Saccharomyces cerevisiae S288C: one gene and its partner. The protein of the gene in region 1 binds, or shares a complex with, the protein of each later gene. Each region holds a gene or a part of one and is shown in the gene's direction. Other genes may lie near its edges. The genes, in order: TRA1 and SPT20.

The links.
Region 2: the proteins of TRA1 (region 1) and SPT20 are in contact, whole or in part, in a cryo-EM structure (PDB 6T9I), measured with the Saccharomyces cerevisiae proteins. Residues at the interface, in NP_011967.1 of Saccharomyces cerevisiae: Tyr2577, Arg2581, Ile2584, Ser2588, Leu2618, Pro2619, Pro2620, His2621, Leu2622, Val2623, Ser2648, Asp2650, Asn2651, Lys2653, Ile2654, Glu2656, Ala2657, Asp2660, Glu2708, Gln2711, Val2712, Ala2714, Arg2715, Tyr2721, Gln2723, Ser2724, Tyr2726, Glu2730, Asp2731, Trp2733; in NP_014493.1 of Saccharomyces cerevisiae: Asn389 (codon at 3,023), Tyr390 (codon at 3,026), Glu391 (codon at 3,029), Leu393 (codon at 3,035), Met394 (codon at 3,038), Leu395 (codon at 3,041), Ile396 (codon at 3,044), Met397 (codon at 3,047), Asn398 (codon at 3,050), Arg400 (codon at 3,056), Thr403 (codon at 3,065), Ile404 (codon at 3,068), Thr405 (codon at 3,071), Asn406 (codon at 3,074), Thr408 (codon at 3,080), Phe409 (codon at 3,083), Val411 (codon at 3,089), Ser412 (codon at 3,092), Lys415 (codon at 3,101), Gln474 (codon at 3,278), Phe475 (codon at 3,281), Ser476 (codon at 3,284), Arg477 (codon at 3,287), Leu478 (codon at 3,290), Phe480 (codon at 3,296), Ile481 (codon at 3,299), Glu482 (codon at 3,302), Trp484 (codon at 3,308), Arg485 (codon at 3,311).

What each region holds. Positions count from the first base shown.
Region 1 is NC_001140.6:295,122-312,614, forward strand, and holds the start of TRA1 (histone acetyltransferase TRA1), read left to right. Parts: upstream 1-7,639; coding exon 7,640-17,493. Other genes in the region: hexose transporter HXT5, read right to left, coding at 1-1,326; PAL2 (Pal2p), read right to left, coding at 2,264-3,239, 3,364-3,488; SFB3 (Sfb3p), read right to left, coding at 4,024-6,813. UniProt on the Saccharomyces cerevisiae protein: Essential scaffold subunit of the transcription coactivator SAGA complex. SAGA acts as a general cofactor required for essentially all RNA polymerase II transcription.
Region 2 is NC_001147.6:45,260-49,432, reverse strand, and holds SPT20 (Spt20p), read left to right. Parts: upstream 1-1,858; coding exon 1,859-3,673; downstream 3,674-4,173. Other genes in the region: DNA replication protein PSF3, read right to left, coding at 1-569; PEX11 (Pex11p), read left to right, coding at 790-1,500; DCP1 (Dcp1p), read right to left, coding at 3,800-4,173. UniProt on the Saccharomyces cerevisiae protein: Component of the transcription coactivator SAGA complex. SAGA acts as a general cofactor required for essentially all RNA polymerase II transcription. At the promoters, SAGA is required for transcription pre-initiation complex (PIC) recruitment.

The sequences.
Region 1 (17,493 bases):
AGATGGTTGATCTTGACCGTTTGGCCATAATCTGGTAACACCAACAGAGGCATAGACGACATAGCAACAAATCATACCTACACAGCCCCATAACAAACAATTACGACGACCAAAACGATCGACGGTATATAGCGAGAAAAAAGTCGAAACAAAATTAACAACACCCAAAACAATAGCAGTTTCAAATGAATCTTCCAAACCAACAGCCTGGAAAATTGTAGTACCATAGTAAAAGAAGTAATTGTCACCTGTCAGCTGTTGTAAAGATTGAATCATCATACCCATTAGTGTACGTCTGAACATCTGGGGCTTACCAGTAACCAATTCCCCCCAAGAAGCAGAGCCCGCCAATCTCTCAGCTTCAATAGAAGACTGATAGTTCTCCATTTCTAAAGTTACTAAAGGAGAGTCTTCAGTGGTTTTGTTAGCTCTTGCTAAGGACCGCTTGGCCTCTTCAATTTTTCCCACTTCTACCAGATAACGTGGGGATTCAGGAACGAACGTCATACCAACAATCATAAAAATAGACCATGCAAAGCATAAGCCTAATGGTACCCTCCATTGGACAGAGTTTGAGTAATTCTTGGTACCAAAATTAGTACAATATCCCAAAAAGATACCGAAAGTGATCATTAATTGGTAACATGAAACCAGAGTACCACGCAACTGCTTAGGCGACACTTCAGAAATTAGCATAGGCGCCAAAACTGTAATACCACCAACGCCCAGTCCTGAGATGATTCTTCCAATGAAATATTGATACCATTTGTCAATGGAGGCGATTTGGATGATGATCCCAATTGAGTAAATGACGACAACAGTCATCAGACCAATCTTACGTCCATACATATCACCGAGCTTTGACAAAACTATACCTCCGATAGCGCAGCCGATGTTGAAAATAGAAACCATCAAACCGGTTCTGACATCGGAAAGATAGGTAGTCCCGTTTGCACGGGTGCTGCCAAATCGCCTAATGAAGTCTGTTTGCCTGACAAAACCAGATATAGTACCAGTATCCCACCCAAACACGAACCCACCAAAAGCAACCATCAAACAGCAGACGGATACAAATAGTAAATCCGACTTCGATTTCTTCTCTAGTTGTTTGTCAACCTCCTTCTGAAGCTCTTCCAGTTCGTCTTTGGGAGGGCCTTCATGGGAAATGTAACTTGAGACGGGTTTAGCTTGTGCCAAATTATCGTTGTAACCGGCGGTACCAGGAGCAGTCGAGTTTCCTGACTTCTCGTTGTATGAGTTAGAATTTGTGCTCACAGTAGCAGACCCTTCCAAGGGGCCTTGATGAGCGTTTTCAAGTTCCGACATTCTTTCTTTACCTCTAATATATTCTTTTTTCTAGAAAAATAATATTTTTTGCTGGTTTTAACAAAGCTATGAAGTAAAATTGCAAAGTGAAAGCGAATCTTGTTTGCGTATATTATATATAGAAAAATTATTCAATCGACTTTTCTCTTTCTTTTGATAGTTTCTTATTCTTAGAGGGAGAACCGTTCGACTAGCATGAAAAGAAAAGAGAGAGACTCTTTTATACGTGAAATCAAAAAGAAACCAAACTTGAGGTACTCTACTAATGATTCTGGCCCTCCTTTCTTGTTTACTCCGTGCCCCTAAAACTAATTAACCCATGCCCATATATTCATCCACACGACCATTAATATTGAACATAAAGATATCATTTCACCAAGCAGTACTTCACTCAATAACAAGGTGTGAAATCCGGTATATTATTCCATCGCTATGAGTGCGGGATCAGAAAGTGAATTACTTACTGTCCCCTAATGTGCACAGCCACGGGGAATGCGGATCAACTGCAGAGAAAAGGGCGCACAGAGTTAGAATGCATCCCTTAATCCGGGAAGTAACAGTAACACGTCATGCGGATGTTTCTTCGGTGGGTATGGGTCACAATTTCGTCCACCAGTACATCACAGCATGCTCTCATTTCTTTACTTTTTGCTAGCAGATGATTACTTTCATTTCGGGTGGGATGGGCCACCTTTTTAGTTTATCCTCCGGGATGCCTTAAACAAGAAAATGGAACAGTGGGGATAAGACCCATAAAAAATCCGAAGTGATAAGTATTGATTGGTATATTCCCGTATCGGAGACCTTAACATAACATAGTGTAGTGATTTTGCGTATAGAAAAGTAACCAATAAAATAAGGTAAATATTGCTATATGAATGTAATAAATAAAATAATATATGGGCGCAACAAAAAGAACGCAAGAAAGAAGCATTGATCAGTGCTTTTTACTAGTTTTCAAGCTTTTCACCCTCCTTAATAGCTTGTTGCCGGTGTTTTCCTTTTTAACAACATCTTCGTGACCGCTTCCTTGGGTGGCAGTGACCGGAACAGAAGTTCTATTATCGTCTACGTCCTTTTGCTCCAAGTGTCCACTATGTGTTTTCACTAGCTTTAAATTGTTGTTGTTCACTTGTAGATGTCTTCTTGAGGGGAGAGACTTTTTTCTTGCTATGCTGTTTTTCCTACGAGATTCTTGTGCGTGGTTGATAACATCTTGCTCTATGGCAGCGGAAGACGCTGGTGCGCCATCCAGGAACGTCGTTGAGCCTAGACCCATCGTAATGGGCCCATGGACTAGTTCAGTTTTCATTTTGGAATCGAACTGGGTAATATTTTTTGAATTCGGTTTAATCGCATCCAAAGTCGTAGTACTGGAATTGGCCTTATTGAATAAATATGCTCTATCTTGTAGTTGGTTCAGCGTCTCAGAATCGTCGTCTACTGTTTCCCTACCAAACACCTCATCTAAGGTAGACTTCTTACTTGTGCGGCCGCCTACTGTATTATTTGGACCATCTGCTGGGAAGGCCAGTACAGGCGCCACTTTATTATTCTTATTTCTCTGTGGAGTGCATGCATCAAAGGGGCCGTCATGATGGAAAGATCCGCCAAATAATCCTGTAACATCCATCTTGTCAATAGTGTCTACATTTTTAGGGGGCTTAACCTTGGTTCTGCTTTTGCTCTTCTGCTTATCTTTGTCCCTATGTCCGTGTGATGTACGACGATGGTGGTGGTGGTTGTGTTGGTGACTATTTGAACCACTACTGCGTTTCTTTTCTTTTGGGTATGGAGCTTGCTGTTTCGGTGTCCCCGCAGCTTCTTCATATGATGGGAGTCTTTCTTGTCTAGAATTGGAAACGCTACTGTTATGGGCCCTCCTAGTGTCATCTTCATTTAAAAATGGGTTACTGCAATAATTATGGATTATCTCAATCGATTTTGAAAGGAGAAAAAGAGTTAAGTTAGTATTCTGAAGTAGTCATGACTGTTAGTTACACTGTAGTGCAATTTTGGGAGTGGAGCTACACATACTTATAATTCCTGGGCGTTTCATCCCTGCTTGATACTCTGTCCTCTGAAGGAGAAACTCTGAAGGGGTTAATCACTGTATTCACGCCATTTTGAGGACCGCCTATGGTCCTTCCTGTTTGATTCATTTGCGTCTGTTTGATATAGTATTCTTTGGAAAAAACGCTTCTGAAATACAAAATAGTAGTAATTTTGCAAGATTTACCAGAAGACAGTCAAGAAAAAATAAAGATAAAAGAGGAAGCAAAGCTACAGTTTTATCCCTGTAATTATGAGATTCTCTCATCCTATGTAGAATTTCACCCTTTCTCTGCCTGCGTTTCACATACTGCCTTTTTTTTTTTTTTGGCAGTATTCTCAGCATAGTCAGCGTTTCGCTGCCGAGAGCCCTTCTGTGGCTGGAACCCCACCAAAACACGAACCCAAAAATACTTCTCCTGTATTCCCCTTGATCAACGCCTTTCTACATGAGGAGGCGCAGGTGAATGCAGAAAGGCACAATATAGCCAACACGTAAAAATCACAATCATATCAGTCTATTCATTCATTTACGTATTTAATTATTTAGTAATGGATATACGAACCGCATCGGCCACAGCCACAACAATATGTCGTTATTTCCAGTTTTCTGCGTGTAAGCACAGGGTCTCCTTTGAGCGAGGCTCAAAACTGCACAAATTTTTGATGGATATTTTCGTGAGTTGCGGCAGTCGAGACTTTAATGAAATCGTCTTTTTGAAGTTTTTCTTGAATTTTTTTATGCATTATCACCAAGTAATTGTCATATGATTCGATTCTGTTGACGGTCTTGTCCTCGCAAAGCAATTGACTCATCACATTACTGTAATATTGATCAACATTAGGCCTCAACAAGACTAACGGCAATGATGACTTGTTGACTACTTGTTGCCAGTTTTTAATGACGTTTGAAGCCTTTTGATTAATACTAGTGCCCGTCTCAGGCAATGTTCCACTAAATAACGAAATTTGGCTGACGGGCAAGGATTCATCCACTGACAGCAGGTCTTGCAAGAGCATTCTATTGGTGTTCTCATTAAACCATAGATAGATAGTATCACCTTGGAAAATCAAGTAGCAACCGCCGTTAATGAAATTAGAGTGTGAGGCTCTTACAGATAGATTATTAATAGAGCTGGAGTTGATCTGTAATAATTTATCATTAGCATCGTAAAAGGTCAGATCAGTTTCCTCTAATAATACATGGAATGGCACAATTTGTGGATAAAGTTTGTAGCAAAGTTGTGCTGAGTTCAATGAATCGTACTTCAATAAATCATAAATTCGTTCATTACCACGGGTACTTTGAGCGTTTGGCTTCATTAATTCGCTTTTTTCAAATGCTAACATGTAAGCAGGCAATGTCTTTATAGAATCCGGCAGTATCAATTGCGTTGATGAGTTACTGCTAACCAATCCTCTATATTGGGTCAAGATTTCGACCATCTTGTCATCAATTAATCTTCTGATCTTTACAAAGTCACAATCACCGAGCGTCTTTATGACATCTTTGATCATTATTCTCATGACAGGATTTTGATTTATAAACTTGAAAATTTCACGAATGTTATTAGATACCGCACCTGACGTGTTAATAGAACGAACTTTTCTGACACCATCAATATCAGTATATAACAATGCAGTTTGGAAATGAACATCGGTTCCTGTTTTTATTTTACTGTCATATTTTAGTAAGACATCTAAGGTGGTATCTCTAGTCAATACAGGAATAATTGGATCATGATCCGTATTATCAGATGAATCGCAGTAGTACTGTTCCACAGATAGCCCAGTAGAACAGCGAACTTTCAATAAAGCTTGATAACCAACAATATTGGAGACATTTGTAACCATGTCGTTAACCAAAGTGAAGGCATCCGTCTCTTGTTGAAAGTGGGGATAATATTTCAAAATACCGGAAGTCATCTCTACAGGATGGCCCACAGTGGCCATATCAATGAATCCCGCATTGGTCACATATAAATCTAAAGAAATGTAGGATTTCAAAAAATCCGATGCTAATTTCTTATAGAACCCATTGTCGCATTTAACATGAGCAATGTGTGCATTGTCCCTTTTTAGCGATAAATTCCCGTTGCCGATCGTTGGCAAGCTGTTCAAAGAACAAATAATCTTACCACCTTGCCCGCCAGTTACTGTGTCTAACGCTAATTTTGCGGCTTGTAAAGCAGAACCATAACAGACTTGGGGTACGTGACTATACTTGTCGGTGGAGATGTAACCACTAATTTTTATCAATGTGTCATTAATGATTTTCATCGAGTTTCCGGGTTTAACAAATAATCCATTATAAAATGGTAAGAAAACATCGTCCAATTCACTTACAATGTACTCTTGTGCATTATCTAAATCTGGTCTCAAATTAAAGAACCGCAACTTATTATCATAAACGATTATAGCAACCTCACAATTTGGCTGGAAATCTGAAATATACTCAATACATGACCTGACACCTTCCACCATGGCTAAAGAACTTCCGTTCTCATTAGCTAACAATGAAACATCAATCAAAAACACGTAGTGTAGTGGTAAAAGCTCCTTCTCCTGAATAGCATTGTAAATACTTGGCACCAAGAAATCGACTGTTCCGTGCAATAACTCTGATTTTTCGTTCAAATCACTTCGTTGCCCATTGGGACCCATGGGCGCAAAATGCTCACCTGGAACTTGCATCTTAACTCTACAAATATTACAAATAACACTTGAATCATAAGTGAACTGAAATTTAGGATTAGCATACGCACGACAACGTCTACAACGCAAAGGCGTACCATCCATTGGTAATGGAATTGTGGGAACTTCTGCATCATTCGGTGTCAAAGTGGAAAATGGTTGGATGGTTAATCCAAGTGGTAGCTTCGTGGCGGCTCTCAAGTGTTCACTTTCGGGGATGTTGTACATGGATAAACTCATCAAGTGCGGATCACATGAACCTTGGTCAACACAATAAAACTGGGTGGTCGGCAAGGGCGGAACAGAATCTCTACAAGTTTCGAAAGATCGTTGTAAATATTGAGCTTGATCTTCAAATCTTTGAGTTGGAACAATGTGAGATGTAGGTTGAGGCGCTGTCATATCAAGCATAGATTGACCATATGGCGAGGAGGCCTCACTCGCACCGAATCGCTCTTGACTCACCATTACAGGCGTGGACATAACGGAACCCGAACCGTTGTTGAAGCCACCAAATTGCTTAGGGGTAAAGGCTTGAGGTTGTTGAAAACCATCCTGCTGATTCAATTGGGGTGTAGTGTAGGGTGAATTGCCCAAAGTAGGAACAGTGCCCGAGGAAAAGTTATGATATGCTCTGTGAGGTCTTCTACTTTTTTTGGAAGATGCTCCGCCCGTATGCACAGTAGATTCATCAAGAGAGAGCGCTGAAACACTAGCTGCCAAAATATTCTGCTGAGACATGATGGTCCAATATTCTTCTGCAAATGGCCTCCTTAGTAACCCTCAAAATTACTAATTTCTTCAGTTGCAAGCTCCGATTTGGTTGAATCAGACCTAAGTTGTTACAGCGTACGTGTTTTTTTTATTTATTTATTTTCTAACATTTTTCTCTTTGGTTTTTCCAGTTTGATCGTTCCCACGTTGAGACGAAACGAAGGAAAAAAAAGAACATTTTTTTCGCATTGTGCACGGAAGGCTTCACCTTCAATAGGGCAAACAGAAGGACGAGCTGCATCACTTTTAGCCGCCACTAATCAACTCCTTCAGATAGATCGCCAGAACGCAAATAAGTGAAATTTGAAGATCAACTTGAATCAAAAAGCCAAAACTAAGAATTGTACGCTACTCTGCCAGACAATATTTTACGGACACGCGCATTTCAAGACAAAGCCATAATTCATGCCTTTTCAACTAGCATCTGGACGCCGCTGAGATCATAGGAACAAACAAAACGCACGAAAATAGCTAACGCACGTATCGAATACCAAATCAGTCTGCATTTATTGTACCCTCAAATTACAAATTCAACCAACAATTGTTCAAAAGACCACCTTGAATCTTGTGTTTCCTAATTTGGTAAGTGATCACGTGGTCAGACAGTTTTCCAGGTCAAACTGAAAAAAAAGCTCAAGAACCATTTTTCTTTAATAGCCTTTTTTAGTTGTATTCTAATAAACAACACCAACAAAATCGGAGGTATCACACGTAATTACATAAAGAAGATTAAATTCAGAGAAGATCTATCACACGATATCTCCATAGTTACAAAGAATACCGCATTTTGCCGATGTCACTCACTGAGCAGATCGAGCAATTCGCCAGTAGGTTTCGCGATGATGATGCCACTCTACAATCGAGATATTCCACTCTATCGGAATTGTACGACATAATGGAATTACTGAATTCTCCTGAGGATTACCATTTTTTCTTACAAGCTGTGATACCTTTACTTCTAAACCAGCTAAAGGAAGTTCCTATTTCATATGATGCGCATTCACCGGAACAAAAGTTGAGAAACTCTATGCTTGATATTTTCAACAGGTGTCTCATGAACCAAACCTTTCAACCCTACGCAATGGAAGTGCTCGAGTTTTTACTTTCAGTACTACCAAAGGAAAACGAAGAAAATGGGATATTATGTATGAAAGTGCTGACGACACTTTTCAAATCATTCAAATCAATACTACAGGACAAACTCGACTCCTTCATACGAATAATTATTCAGATTTATAAAAATACACCAAACCTTATAAACCAGACGTTTTATGAAGCCGGGAAAGCAGAACAGGGTGATTTGGATTCACCAAAAGAACCACAGGCAGATGAACTTCTCGATGAATTCTCCAAAAATGATGAAGAAAAGGACTTTCCATCGAAACAATCATCCACGGAGCCAAGGTTTGAAAACTCTACCTCATCAAACGGGTTGAGGTCATCTATGTTTTCCTTTAAAATCCTTTCTGAATGCCCTATTACAATGGTCACTTTATATTCGTCTTACAAGCAGTTGACTAGCACCTCGCTTCCGGAATTCACTCCTCTTATTATGAATCTATTGAATATACAAATTAAACAACAACAGGAAGCGAGAGAACAGGCGGAATCACGGGGAGAACATTTCACTTCTATATCGACGGAGATTATCAACAGACCGGCTTACTGTGATTTTATATTAGCCCAGATCAAGGCCACGTCTTTCTTGGCTTACGTATTCATTAGAGGATACGCTCCTGAATTTTTGCAGGATTATGTGAATTTTGTTCCTGATTTAATCATAAGGCTTTTACAAGACTGCCCTTCTGAACTATCATCTGCTAGGAAGGAACTTTTGCATGCCACTAGACACATTCTATCTACAAACTACAAAAAGCTCTTTTTACCCAAATTGGACTATCTGTTTGACGAACGTATACTTATTGGTAACGGTTTTACTATGCATGAAACATTAAGGCCCCTGGCTTATAGTACTGTGGCAGATTTCATTCATAATATAAGATCTGAATTACAACTAAGTGAAATTGAAAAAACAATAAAGATTTACACTGGATATCTATTGGATGAGTCATTAGCCTTAACTGTACAAATCATGAGTGCAAAATTGCTGCTTAATTTAGTTGAAAGAATATTAAAATTGGGAAAGGAGAACCCACAAGAGGCCCCTAGAGCAAAGAAATTGTTAATGATAATCATTGACTCATATATGAATAGATTTAAAACCTTAAACAGACAGTACGATACAATAATGAAGTACTATGGAAGATACGAAACGCATAAGAAGGAGAAAGCAGAAAAGCTCAAAAACTCTATACAGGATAATGACAAAGAGAGTGAGGAATTTATGAGGAAGGTACTGGAACCATCCGATGACGACCATTTGATGCCACAGCCTAAAAAAGAAGATATCAATGATAGTCCCGATGTTGAAATGACAGAATCTGACAAAGTGGTGAAGAATGACGTTGAAATGTTTGACATAAAAAACTACGCACCTATATTATTACTACCCACACCAACAAATGATCCCATCAAGGATGCTTTTTACTTATACAGAACTTTAATGTCTTTCTTAAAAACAATAATTCATGACTTAAAAGTCTTTAACCCACCTCCTAACGAATATACGGTTGCTAATCCTAAATTGTGGGCTTCTGTTTCTAGAGTTTTTTCATATGAGGAAGTCATTGTTTTCAAGGATTTATTTCACGAATGTATTATTGGTTTGAAATTTTTTAAAGATCATAATGAAAAATTATCTCCAGAAACAACAAAAAAACATTTTGATATATCAATGCCCAGCCTACCGGTCTCAGCCACCAAAGATGCTCGTGAGTTAATGGACTATTTGGCATTTATGTTTATGCAGATGGATAATGCCACTTTTAATGAAATAATTGAACAGGAACTGCCATTTGTCTATGAAAGAATGCTGGAGGATTCTGGGCTGCTACATGTCGCGCAATCCTTTTTAACAAGTGAAATAACCTCCCCAAATTTTGCTGGCATCCTTTTAAGATTCTTGAAAGGGAAATTGAAAGATTTAGGAAACGTTGATTTTAACACTTCTAATGTCCTAATACGACTTTTCAAATTGTCCTTTATGTCCGTCAATCTTTTCCCCAATATCAATGAGGTTGTTCTTCTTCCACACTTAAACGATCTAATTCTAAACTCCCTGAAATACTCAACTACAGCAGAAGAGCCTCTAGTATACTTTTATCTTATTAGAACTCTTTTTAGAAGTATAGGTGGGGGCAGATTTGAAAACTTATATAGATCGATTAAGCCCATACTACAGGTGCTATTACAATCTTTAAACCAAATGATACTTACTGCACGATTGCCCCACGAGAGAGAACTTTATGTGGAATTATGCATCACTGTACCAGTTCGGTTAAGTGTGCTTGCTCCTTATTTGCCATTTTTGATGAAACCATTGGTATTTGCATTACAGCAATATCCTGATCTCGTTTCGCAGGGTTTAAGGACCTTAGAATTATGTATTGATAATTTGACCGCCGAGTATTTTGATCCTATAATCGAACCGGTAATCGATGACGTTTCGAAGGCCTTGTTTAACCTTCTGCAACCTCAACCATTTAATCATGCTATCAGCCACAACGTAGTCAGAATACTGGGCAAATTAGGAGGTAGAAATCGTCAATTTTTAAAGCCACCAACGGACCTCACGGAAAAAACGGAACTAGACATTGATGCGATAGCAGATTTCAAAATCAATGGTATGCCGGAAGATGTACCGCTTTCTGTAACGCCAGGAATCCAGTCCGCTTTGAATATATTGCAAAGCTACAAAAGTGATATTCACTACAGGAAGAGTGCTTACAAGTATCTAACCTGTGTACTACTGTTAATGACAAAATCATCAGCAGAGTTTCCTACGAATTACACGGAACTGTTGAAGACAGCAGTGAATTCTATAAAGCTAGAGAGGATTGGAATAGAAAAAAACTTTGATTTGGAACCAACTGTAAATAAGAGAGATTATTCGAACCAAGAAAATTTGTTTTTGAGGTTACTGGAGAGCGTTTTTTACGCAACTTCGATAAAGGAACTAAAAGATGACGCAATGGACCTACTGAATAACCTTTTGGATCATTTCTGCCTATTACAAGTAAACACTACGTTGCTTAATAAGAGAAACTATAATGGGACATTTAACATCGATCTAAAGAACCCAAACTTCATGCTAGATAGCTCATTGATTCTAGATGCTATTCCCTTTGCCCTTTCGTACTACATTCCAGAAGTTCGTGAGGTGGGTGTTTTGGCGTACAAAAGAATATACGAAAAAAGTTGTCTGATATATGGGGAGGAACTAGCTTTAAGTCACTCCTTCATACCGGAATTAGCTAAACAGTTTATCCATTTGTGTTACGACGAAACATATTACAACAAAAGAGGCGGTGTCTTGGGTATAAAAGTTCTCATTGATAATGTTAAGTCGTCCTCAGTTTTCCTAAAAAAGTATCAGTATAACCTAGCCAATGGTCTATTATTTGTGCTGAAGGACACTCAGAGCGAGGCCCCATCTGCTATAACAGATAGCGCTGAGAAATTACTAATAGATCTATTAAGTATTACGTTCGCGGATGTAAAAGAAGAGGATTTGGGTAACAAAGTCTTGGAGAACACACTGACGGACATAGTATGCGAATTAAGTAATGCAAATCCTAAGGTAAGAAATGCCTGCCAGAAGTCCTTACATACAATTTCAAACCTCACTGGAATTCCTATAGTAAAATTGATGGATCATTCCAAACAATTTCTTCTATCACCAATATTTGCAAAACCTTTAAGAGCATTACCTTTCACTATGCAAATCGGTAATGTCGATGCTATCACATTCTGTTTAAGTCTACCAAACACATTTCTAACATTTAATGAAGAACTGTTTAGGTTACTCCAAGAATCTATTGTCTTGGCAGATGCAGAAGATGAATCACTATCCACCAATATCCAAAAGACAACCGAATATAGTACTTCCGAGCAATTAGTACAATTAAGAATAGCGTGCATAAAATTACTTGCGATTGCTCTTAAAAATGAAGAATTTGCCACAGCTCAACAAGGAAACATCAGAATTCGAATTCTAGCTGTTTTTTTCAAAACAATGCTGAAAACTTCACCAGAAATTATTAATACTACATATGAAGCTTTGAAAGGTTCCTTAGCAGAAAACTCTAAATTGCCGAAAGAATTACTTCAGAACGGATTAAAACCTCTTTTAATGAATTTATCTGACCACCAAAAGCTGACGGTCCCTGGTCTGGATGCTTTATCGAAGCTTCTCGAGTTATTGATTGCATACTTTAAAGTAGAAATCGGAAGAAAGTTGTTAGATCACCTCACGGCATGGTGCCGTGTTGAAGTTCTTGACACATTATTTGGCCAAGATTTAGCAGAGCAGATGCCAACTAAAATAATAGTAAGCATTATTAATATATTTCATCTACTGCCACCACAAGCTGATATGTTTTTAAATGATTTGTTGCTCAAAGTTATGCTTCTAGAGAGAAAACTACGTCTTCAACTGGATTCTCCATTTCGTACACCACTAGCGAGGTACCTGAACCGTTTCCATAACCCCGTAACAGAGTACTTCAAGAAAAATATGACGTTAAGGCAATTAGTGCTTTTCATGTGCAATATTGTGCAAAGACCTGAAGCAAAGGAGCTGGCCGAAGATTTTGAGAAAGAACTCGACAACTTCTATGACTTTTACATTTCCAATATACCAAAAAACCAAGTACGTGTTGTTAGTTTTTTTACTAATATGGTTGATCTCTTTAATACAATGGTGATCACGAATGGGGACGAATGGCTAAAGAAAAAAGGCAACATGATTTTGAAATTAAAAGATATGCTGAACTTGACATTAAAAACAATAAAGGAAAACTCGTTTTACATCGACCATCTACAATTAAATCAAAGTATTGCAAAATTCCAAGCTCTTTACCTGCGTTTCACTGAATTATCCGAAAGGGATCAAAATCCTCTGCTCCTAGATTTCATTGATTTTTCTTTTTCAAATGGTATCAAAGCCTCATATTCCCTCAAGAAATTCATCTTCCATAATATAATAGCAAGTTCAAATAAAGAAAAGCAGAATAACTTCATAAATGATGCAACACTTTTCGTTCTATCTGACAAATGTTTGGATGCTAGAATATTTGTACTTAAAAATGTCATAAATTCAACTTTGATTTATGAAGTGGCAACATCTGGATCTTTGAAAAGCTATCTTGTGGAGGATAAAAAACCTAAATGGTTAGAGTTACTCCACAATAAAATTTGGAAGAACTCAAATGCAATTTTAGCATATGACGTTCTAGACCATCATGATTTATTCCGTTTTGAACTCTTACAACTGTCAGCAATTTTCATTAAGGCAGATCCAGAAATTATAGCCGAGATAAAGAAAGATATAATAAAATTCTGCTGGAATTTCATAAAGCTCGAAGATACCCTTATCAAACAATCCGCGTACCTGGTTACATCATATTTCATATCCAAGTTTGATTTCCCTATTAAAGTTGTCACCCAGGTTTTTGTTGCCCTATTACGTTCTTCTCATGTCGAAGCTAGGTACTTAGTTAAGCAATCGCTGGACGTTCTCACCCCTGTTCTCCATGAACGTATGAACGCAGCTGGGACGCCCGATACCTGGATTAACTGGGTTAAAAGGGTAATGGTAGAAAATTCTTCTAGTCAGAACAACATTTTATACCAATTTTTGATAAGCCACCCTGATTTATTTTTCAATTCAAGAGATTTGTTCATATCAAATATTATTCATCATATGAATAAGATAACGTTCATGTCAAATTCAAACTCTGATAGTCATACTTTAGCTATTGATTTGGCGTCATTAATTCTTTATTGGGAGAACAAGACCTTAGAAATTACGAATGTAAATAATACCAAGACCGATTCCGACGGAGATGTTGTAATGTCCGATTCTAAAAGTGATATTAATCCAGTTGAGGCTGACACAACCGCAATAATTGTAGACGCTAATAACAACTCGCCTATATCTTTACATTTACGCGAGGCTTGTACGGCGTTTTTGATAAGATACGTGTGTGCAAGTAATCACCGTGCCATAGAAACAGAACTAGGATTAAGAGCTATCAATATTTTATCAGAATTAATCTCAGATAAGCATTGGACAAACGTCAATGTTAAACTGGTTTACTTCGAGAAGTTTTTGATATTTCAAGATCTCGATTCCGAAAATATTCTTTACTACTGCATGAATGCTTTGGATGTGCTTTATGTATTCTTCAAAAATAAGACAAAAGAATGGATAATGGAAAACTTACCTACCATTCAAAATCTTCTAGAAAAATGTATCAAATCTGATCATCACGATGTACAGGAAGCTCTGCAAAAAGTTTTGCAGGTAATAATGAAGGCAATAAAAGCTCAGGGTGTATCAGTGATAATTGAAGAAGAAAGCCCTGGTAAGACATTTATCCAAATGTTAACCTCCGTGATAACTCAGGATCTTCAGGAAACCTCATCAGTTACAGCTGGTGTAACTCTAGCTTGGGTACTCTTCATGAACTTTCCGGATAACATCGTCCCATTATTAACGCCTTTGATGAAGACGTTCAGTAAGTTATGCAAAGATCACTTAAGCATTTCACAACCGAAGGACGCCATGGCTCTGGAAGAGGCAAGGATTACGACGAAACTTTTAGAGAAAGTTTTATATATATTATCTTTGAAAGTCTCACTCTTGGGTGACTCCCGTCGTCCTTTCCTCTCCACTGTGGCACTTCTGATTGATCACTCCATGGATCAAAATTTTTTGAGGAAAATTGTCAATATGTCCAGAAGCTGGATATTCAATACTGAAATTTTTCCAACTGTTAAAGAAAAAGCGGCTATATTAACGAAGATGCTGGCGTTTGAGATTAGAGGGGAACCTTCATTGTCAAAGCTATTCTACGAAATAGTCTTGAAACTATTTGATCAAGAACATTTTAATAACACAGAAATTACCGTTAGAATGGAACAACCTTTCCTCGTAGGAACGCGTGTTGAAGACATCGGTATAAGGAAAAGATTCATGACAATTTTGGATAATAGTTTGGAAAGAGATATCAAAGAGAGACTATATTATGTTATACGGGACCAAAACTGGGAATTTATTGCTGATTATCCATGGTTAAATCAAGCTTTACAATTACTATATGGTTCTTTTAATAGAGAGAAGGAATTATCTTTAAAGAACATTTATTGTTTGTCTCCACCATCGATTTTACAAGAGTACCTCCCAGAAAATGCTGAAATGGTAACCGAAGTAAACGATCTGGAATTATCAAACTTTGTTAAAGGTCATATAGCTTCCATGCAAGGTTTATGTCGAATAATCTCTTCGGATTTCATCGATTCTTTGATTGAAATATTTTACCAAGATCCAAAAGCAATTCATAGAGCGTGGGTTACGTTATTTCCCCAGGTATACAAAAGTATTCCAAAGAATGAAAAATACGGGTTTGTTCGATCTATCATTACATTGCTTTCTAAACCTTATCATACCAGACAAATTTCCTCTAGGACAAATGTGATTAATATGCTATTGGACTCAATAAGTAAAATTGAATCGTTAGAATTACCCCCTCATTTGGTCAAATACTTGGCGATATCATACAACGCTTGGTATCAATCGATTAACATCTTGGAATCCATTCAAAGCAATACTAGCATCGACAATACAAAAATTATCGAAGCCAACGAAGATGCGCTATTAGAACTATACGTCAATCTACAAGAAGAAGACATGTTTTATGGTCTTTGGAGACGTAGAGCAAAATACACAGAGACTAACATTGGTTTATCATATGAACAAATTGGCCTTTGGGACAAAGCTCAACAACTTTATGAAGTGGCACAGGTCAAAGCTCGTAGTGGTGCCTTGCCCTACTCACAGTCTGAGTATGCACTATGGGAAGATAACTGGATACAGTGTGCTGAAAAATTACAACATTGGGACGTATTAACTGAATTAGCGAAGCATGAAGGGTTCACGGACTTATTATTAGAATGTGGTTGGCGTGTTGCTGATTGGAACAGTGATCGTGATGCACTTGAGCAATCAGTAAAAAGCGTTATGGACGTTCCAACTCCACGAAGGCAAATGTTTAAGACCTTTTTGGCTCTTCAAAATTTCGCAGAAAGCAGAAAAGGAGATCAAGAAGTTAGAAAGCTATGCGATGAAGGAATACAATTAAGTCTAATAAAGTGGGTGTCTCTGCCAATTAGATATACACCAGCTCATAAGTGGCTATTACATGGGTTTCAACAGTACATGGAATTTTTGGAAGCGACACAGATATATGCTAACTTGCATACAACAACAGTACAGAATCTGGATTCTAAAGCCCAAGAGATTAAGCGCATCTTGCAAGCTTGGAGAGACCGTCTACCAAACACATGGGATGATGTCAATATGTGGAATGACCTAGTAACATGGAGACAACATGCATTCCAGGTTATTAACAACGCATATCTCCCATTAATACCGGCACTTCAACAATCAAACAGTAATAGCAATATTAATACTCATGCATATAGGGGATATCATGAAATTGCCTGGGTAATCAACAGGTTTGCACATGTTGCAAGGAAGCACAACATGCCTGACGTGTGTATCAGTCAGCTGGCACGTATTTACACCCTACCGAATATAGAAATTCAGGAGGCTTTCCTAAAGTTAAGGGAGCAAGCTAAATGTCATTACCAAAACATGAACGAATTAACAACGGGTCTGGATGTTATTAGTAATACTAATTTGGTTTACTTTGGTACTGTCCAAAAAGCTGAATTCTTCACATTGAAGGGTATGTTTTTGTCTAAATTACGCGCATATGAAGAGGCAAATCAAGCCTTTGCAACAGCTGTTCAGATAGACTTGAACTTGGCTAAAGCATGGGCCCAATGGGGTTTCTTCAATGACCGTCGTTTGTCAGAAGAGCCAAACAACATTAGTTTTGCTAGTAATGCAATAAGCTGTTATTTACAAGCCGCCGGCCTGTATAAGAACTCGAAGATTAGGGAGTTATTGTGCAGGATTTTATGGCTCATCAGTATAGATGATGCTTCGGGCATGCTCACAAACGCATTTGACTCCTTTAGAGGCGAAATACCCGTTTGGTACTGGATTACTTTCATTCCTCAACTATTAACCTCTCTATCACATAAGGAGGCCAATATGGTTCGTCATATCTTAATCAGAATTGCTAAAAGTTATCCTCAAGCTCTTCACTTCCAATTAAGAACGACAAAGGAAGATTTCGCCGTTATCCAACGACAGACAATGGCTGTTATGGGGGATAAACCAGATACAAACGATCGGAATGGACGGCGCCAGCCTTGGGAATATTTACAAGAGTTAAACAATATTCTAAAGACAGCTTATCCATTGTTGGCCTTATCCTTAGAGTCTCTTGTTGCCCAAATAAACGACCGTTTCAAATCTACTACTGACGAAGATCTTTTCAGGTTGATAAATGTCCTATTGATCGATGGAACGCTGAACTACAATCGCTTACCATTTCCTAGGAAAAATCCAAAACTTCCTGAAAATACAGAAAAAAATTTGGTCAAATTTTCTAC
Region 2 (4,173 bases), on another chromosome or scaffold:
CACCTTTTCGTGTCCTTATAAGATTCATGAGACTTTTTATATATCTCCTTCTCCATTTCTTCTAGTTTCAGTAAAAATGTGCTAGTTGCTATATTAGTGTTCGCTGAATTTTTTCCGGTCGAGTCTGCATTGAGATCAATCGATAAACTACTAGCATGATGATTAAGTTCTTGGGCACGTTGCAAAAGTAGCTCACTAACGACATTGGCCAGTTCTTTTTCGCTAAACAACATTATCCATTTTATGGCTAGACTGAAGAAATGCGAATTTATGGAATGCAAGTCCAGAGCCACCGGATCGGTCTTTATAGCGTTCATAACTTTCGTAGAAAACATATCTGGTGGCAGGAGTTCCACAAAAGGTACAGGTTCTTCATCTACCAAGGCTTCGTCACCACCCACAATTGCAAGGATTCTTGCTAACCATAGTGGCAGGCTTAGTTTAGTGTTTTTCGTTATGGGTCGTCCTGGGTTGTTTTCCAAATAACCAAGACCAGGAATATCATATTGAAATTTACAAGGAAACTCTGTCCCATCTGCTAGGACATCATCAATGTCATAGTAACCCATCCTTTCTATGCTTGCCCTTCTATTGTAAAAATATAATACCAAGAACAAAGTTGGCATCAATTCCATTGCGATTTTCACTACGCGTCGGCATTTATCTCGGAGAACCCGAAGCGATGGGTATATCATTTATAGATATAAAAGGGAAGTGACTCCAACAACTGAAAAACCGTTGTCTCCATCTACTACTTCAAAGACTTCATCAAGTAATAGTATAATCAATATGGTCTGTGATACACTGGTATATCATCCCTCCGTGACGAGATTCGTCAAATTTCTAGATGGCTCAGCTGGCAGAGAAAAGGTTCTCAGATTACTGCAGTATTTAGCAAGATTTTTAGCAGTACAGAACTCATCTCTCTTGGCCAGGCAATTACAAGCTCAATTTACCACAGTCAGAAAATTTCTGAGGTTTCTGAAGCCTTTAAACCACTTGCAGGCAGCTGCTAAATTCTACGATAACAAGTTGGCCAGCGACAACGTCGTTAGAGTCTGCAATGTTTTGAAAAACATCTTCTTTGCTGCATATTTGTCGTTAGATCAAGTCAATCTTTTGAGAATTTTGAAAGTGATTCCTGTAACCGTTCTTACCGGTAAGAAAATACCTCGCTGGTCCAATTGGTGTTGGCTGTTCGGCCTCCTAAGTGGTCTGGCTATGGATCTTCGTAAGATCCAAACATCTCATGCCCAGATTGCTGCGTTTGTCAAGGCAAAATCACAAAGCCAAGGCGATGAGCATGAGGATCACAAGAAGGTACTAGGGAAGGCATACCAAGACAGGTACACCGCGTTAAGAAGACTATTCTGGGATGCTGCAGATTCGTTCATCGTCCTCAACAACCTAGGGTACTTGTCTAGCAACGAAGAGTATGTTGCGCTATCCGGTGTTGTCACATCTATCCTTGGTATGCAAGACATGTGGAAAGCTACATAGCTTTCTTTTCATCTTTTTTTTTTATTTGGCTATTCTCCGCTTATGTTTGATTCGACCCTTCTTTATAATTTATTTCTTATGTATATGACCCAATGTTCCATGTCCATACCTGTATAAGATTCTGAGTGACAATAGTTCTTGTTATCCGCACCATTAATAACTAACTAACTATCTTTAAAGTAAAACTGGGATCGCTATAACTGCTTAGTTCTGTTACCCGCTCGTGATACCTGACGACCATTAATCATGAAGAAGTGTTAAGATGATCGACCAGCAGAGATAAAAGAATGAGAAAAGTAGCCTTCAAGAGGATTAGGAAGGAATAGTTACGGTTAATTTGCGCCTATATATTTCAGGGATGAGTGCCAATAGCCCGACAGGAAACGATCCCCATGTATTTGGTATTCCTGTGAACGCAACACCATCCAATATGGGTTCGCCAGGCAGTCCAGTTAATGTACCACCTCCTATGAACCCAGCGGTAGCAAATGTAAATCATCCTGTTATGAGGACAAACAGTAATAGTAATGCCAATGAAGGTACTAGGACTTTAACCAGGGAGCAAATACAGCAATTGCAGCAAAGACAACGATTATTACTACAGCAAAGACTACTCGAACAACAGAGAAAACAGCAAGCACTCCAAAACTATGAGGCTCAGTTTTATCAAATGCTTATGACCTTAAACAAAAGACCTAAAAGACTTTACAATTTTGTGGAAGATGCAGACTCAATTTTGAAAAAATATGAGCAATATTTACACAGTTTTGAATTTCATATTTATGAGAATAATTATAAGATTTGCGCTCCTGCAAATAGCAGGTTACAACAGCAGCAAAAGCAACCCGAGCTGACTAGTGACGGTTTAATATTAACCAAAAATAACGAAACTTTGAAAGAATTTTTAGAGTACGTCGCAAGAGGAAGGATTCCTGATGCTATTATGGAAGTCTTAAGGGACTGTAATATCCAATTTTACGAAGGAAATCTTATTTTACAGGTTTATGACCATACTAATACAGTTGATGTCACCCCCAAAGAGAACAAGCCTAATTTGAACAGCTCTTCTTCCCCTTCAAATAATAATAGCACACAGGACAATTCCAAGATTCAACAACCATCCGAACCTAATAGTGGTGTGGCAAATACAGGCGCAAACACAGCAAATAAGAAGGCATCCTTCAAACGACCTAGAGTATATCGAACATTGTTGAAGCCTAATGATTTGACGACGTATTATGACATGATGTCTTATGCAGATAATGCCAGGTTTTCTGATAGCATTTATCAACAGTTTGAATCTGAAATTTTAACACTTACCAAGAGGAACTTGTCACTAAGTGTGCCATTAAATCCATATGAGCACCGAGACATGTTGGAGGAAACAGCTTTTTCAGAACCTCATTGGGATAGTGAAAAAAAATCCTTCATTCACGAACATCGTGCTGAGTCTACGAGAGAAGGCACGAAGGGCGTTGTAGGGCATATCGAAGAACGCGATGAATTTCCGCAACATAGTTCAAATTATGAACAGTTGATGTTGATCATGAATGAACGCACAACAACGATAACCAACTCCACGTTTGCTGTTTCGTTAACCAAGAATGCGATGGAGATTGCTAGCTCCAGTTCCAACGGGGTACGTGGAGCTTCGTCCTCAACTTCGAATTCCGCATCAAATACAAGGAATAACAGTTTGGCTAATGGCAATCAAGTAGCTTTGGCAGCGGCAGCGGCTGCGGCTGCAGTGGGATCTACCATGGGTAACGATAATAATCAATTTAGCAGGCTGAAATTTATTGAACAATGGAGAATAAATAAAGAAAAAAGAAAACAGCAGGCTTTAAGTGCAAACATCAATCCAACCCCCTTCAACGCTAGAATATCGATGACAGCACCATTGACTCCACAGCAACAGCTACTTCAAAGACAACAGCAGGCCTTGGAGCAACAACAGAATGGTGGAGCCATGAAAAACGCAAATAAACGGAGTGGTAACAATGCCACCAGTAACAATAATAATAATAATAATAATTTAGATAAACCAAAGGTTAAGCGACCTAGAAAAAATGCAAAAAAAAGCGAGAGCGGTACACCAGCTCCTAAAAAGAAAAGAATGACTAAGAAGAAACAGAGCGCAAGTAGCACGCCCTCTTCTACTACAATGTCATAATCTACTTAAATAGAGTTATCATTCCTTATATATATATATATATATATATATATATATATATATATATTGTATTAAAGTACATCATTATTTAAAAAAAATTCTCACTTGGGCATCTCACCTCTGTGCTCAAGCAAAAGAATCTTTTGGCTCATTTTCCAGAAGATATTTTATTAGTTCGTAGATATTTTGTCTATCACTAACTGTATGAATCCATATACCATAGACCTCATGCTTCAAGTTCTTAATAATGACCAATTCATCTTTCACCTCTACCCCCATGCACTCTAGTGGGTTAAGTGTATCCTCTTCTGCATTAAATACTTTTCTTTTATTTACGACACTATTGGGAACAATGCCCATAGAAAAATTGTCAGGATTAATTCGGTTTAATATGATCAATCCATAATTGTATATGTCCTTTCCACTTAAAGTTTTGCCGCAATTATATGTTAGCGAATCATTACTTTTATAAGAGTTCCCATTTCCACTGCTATTCCTGT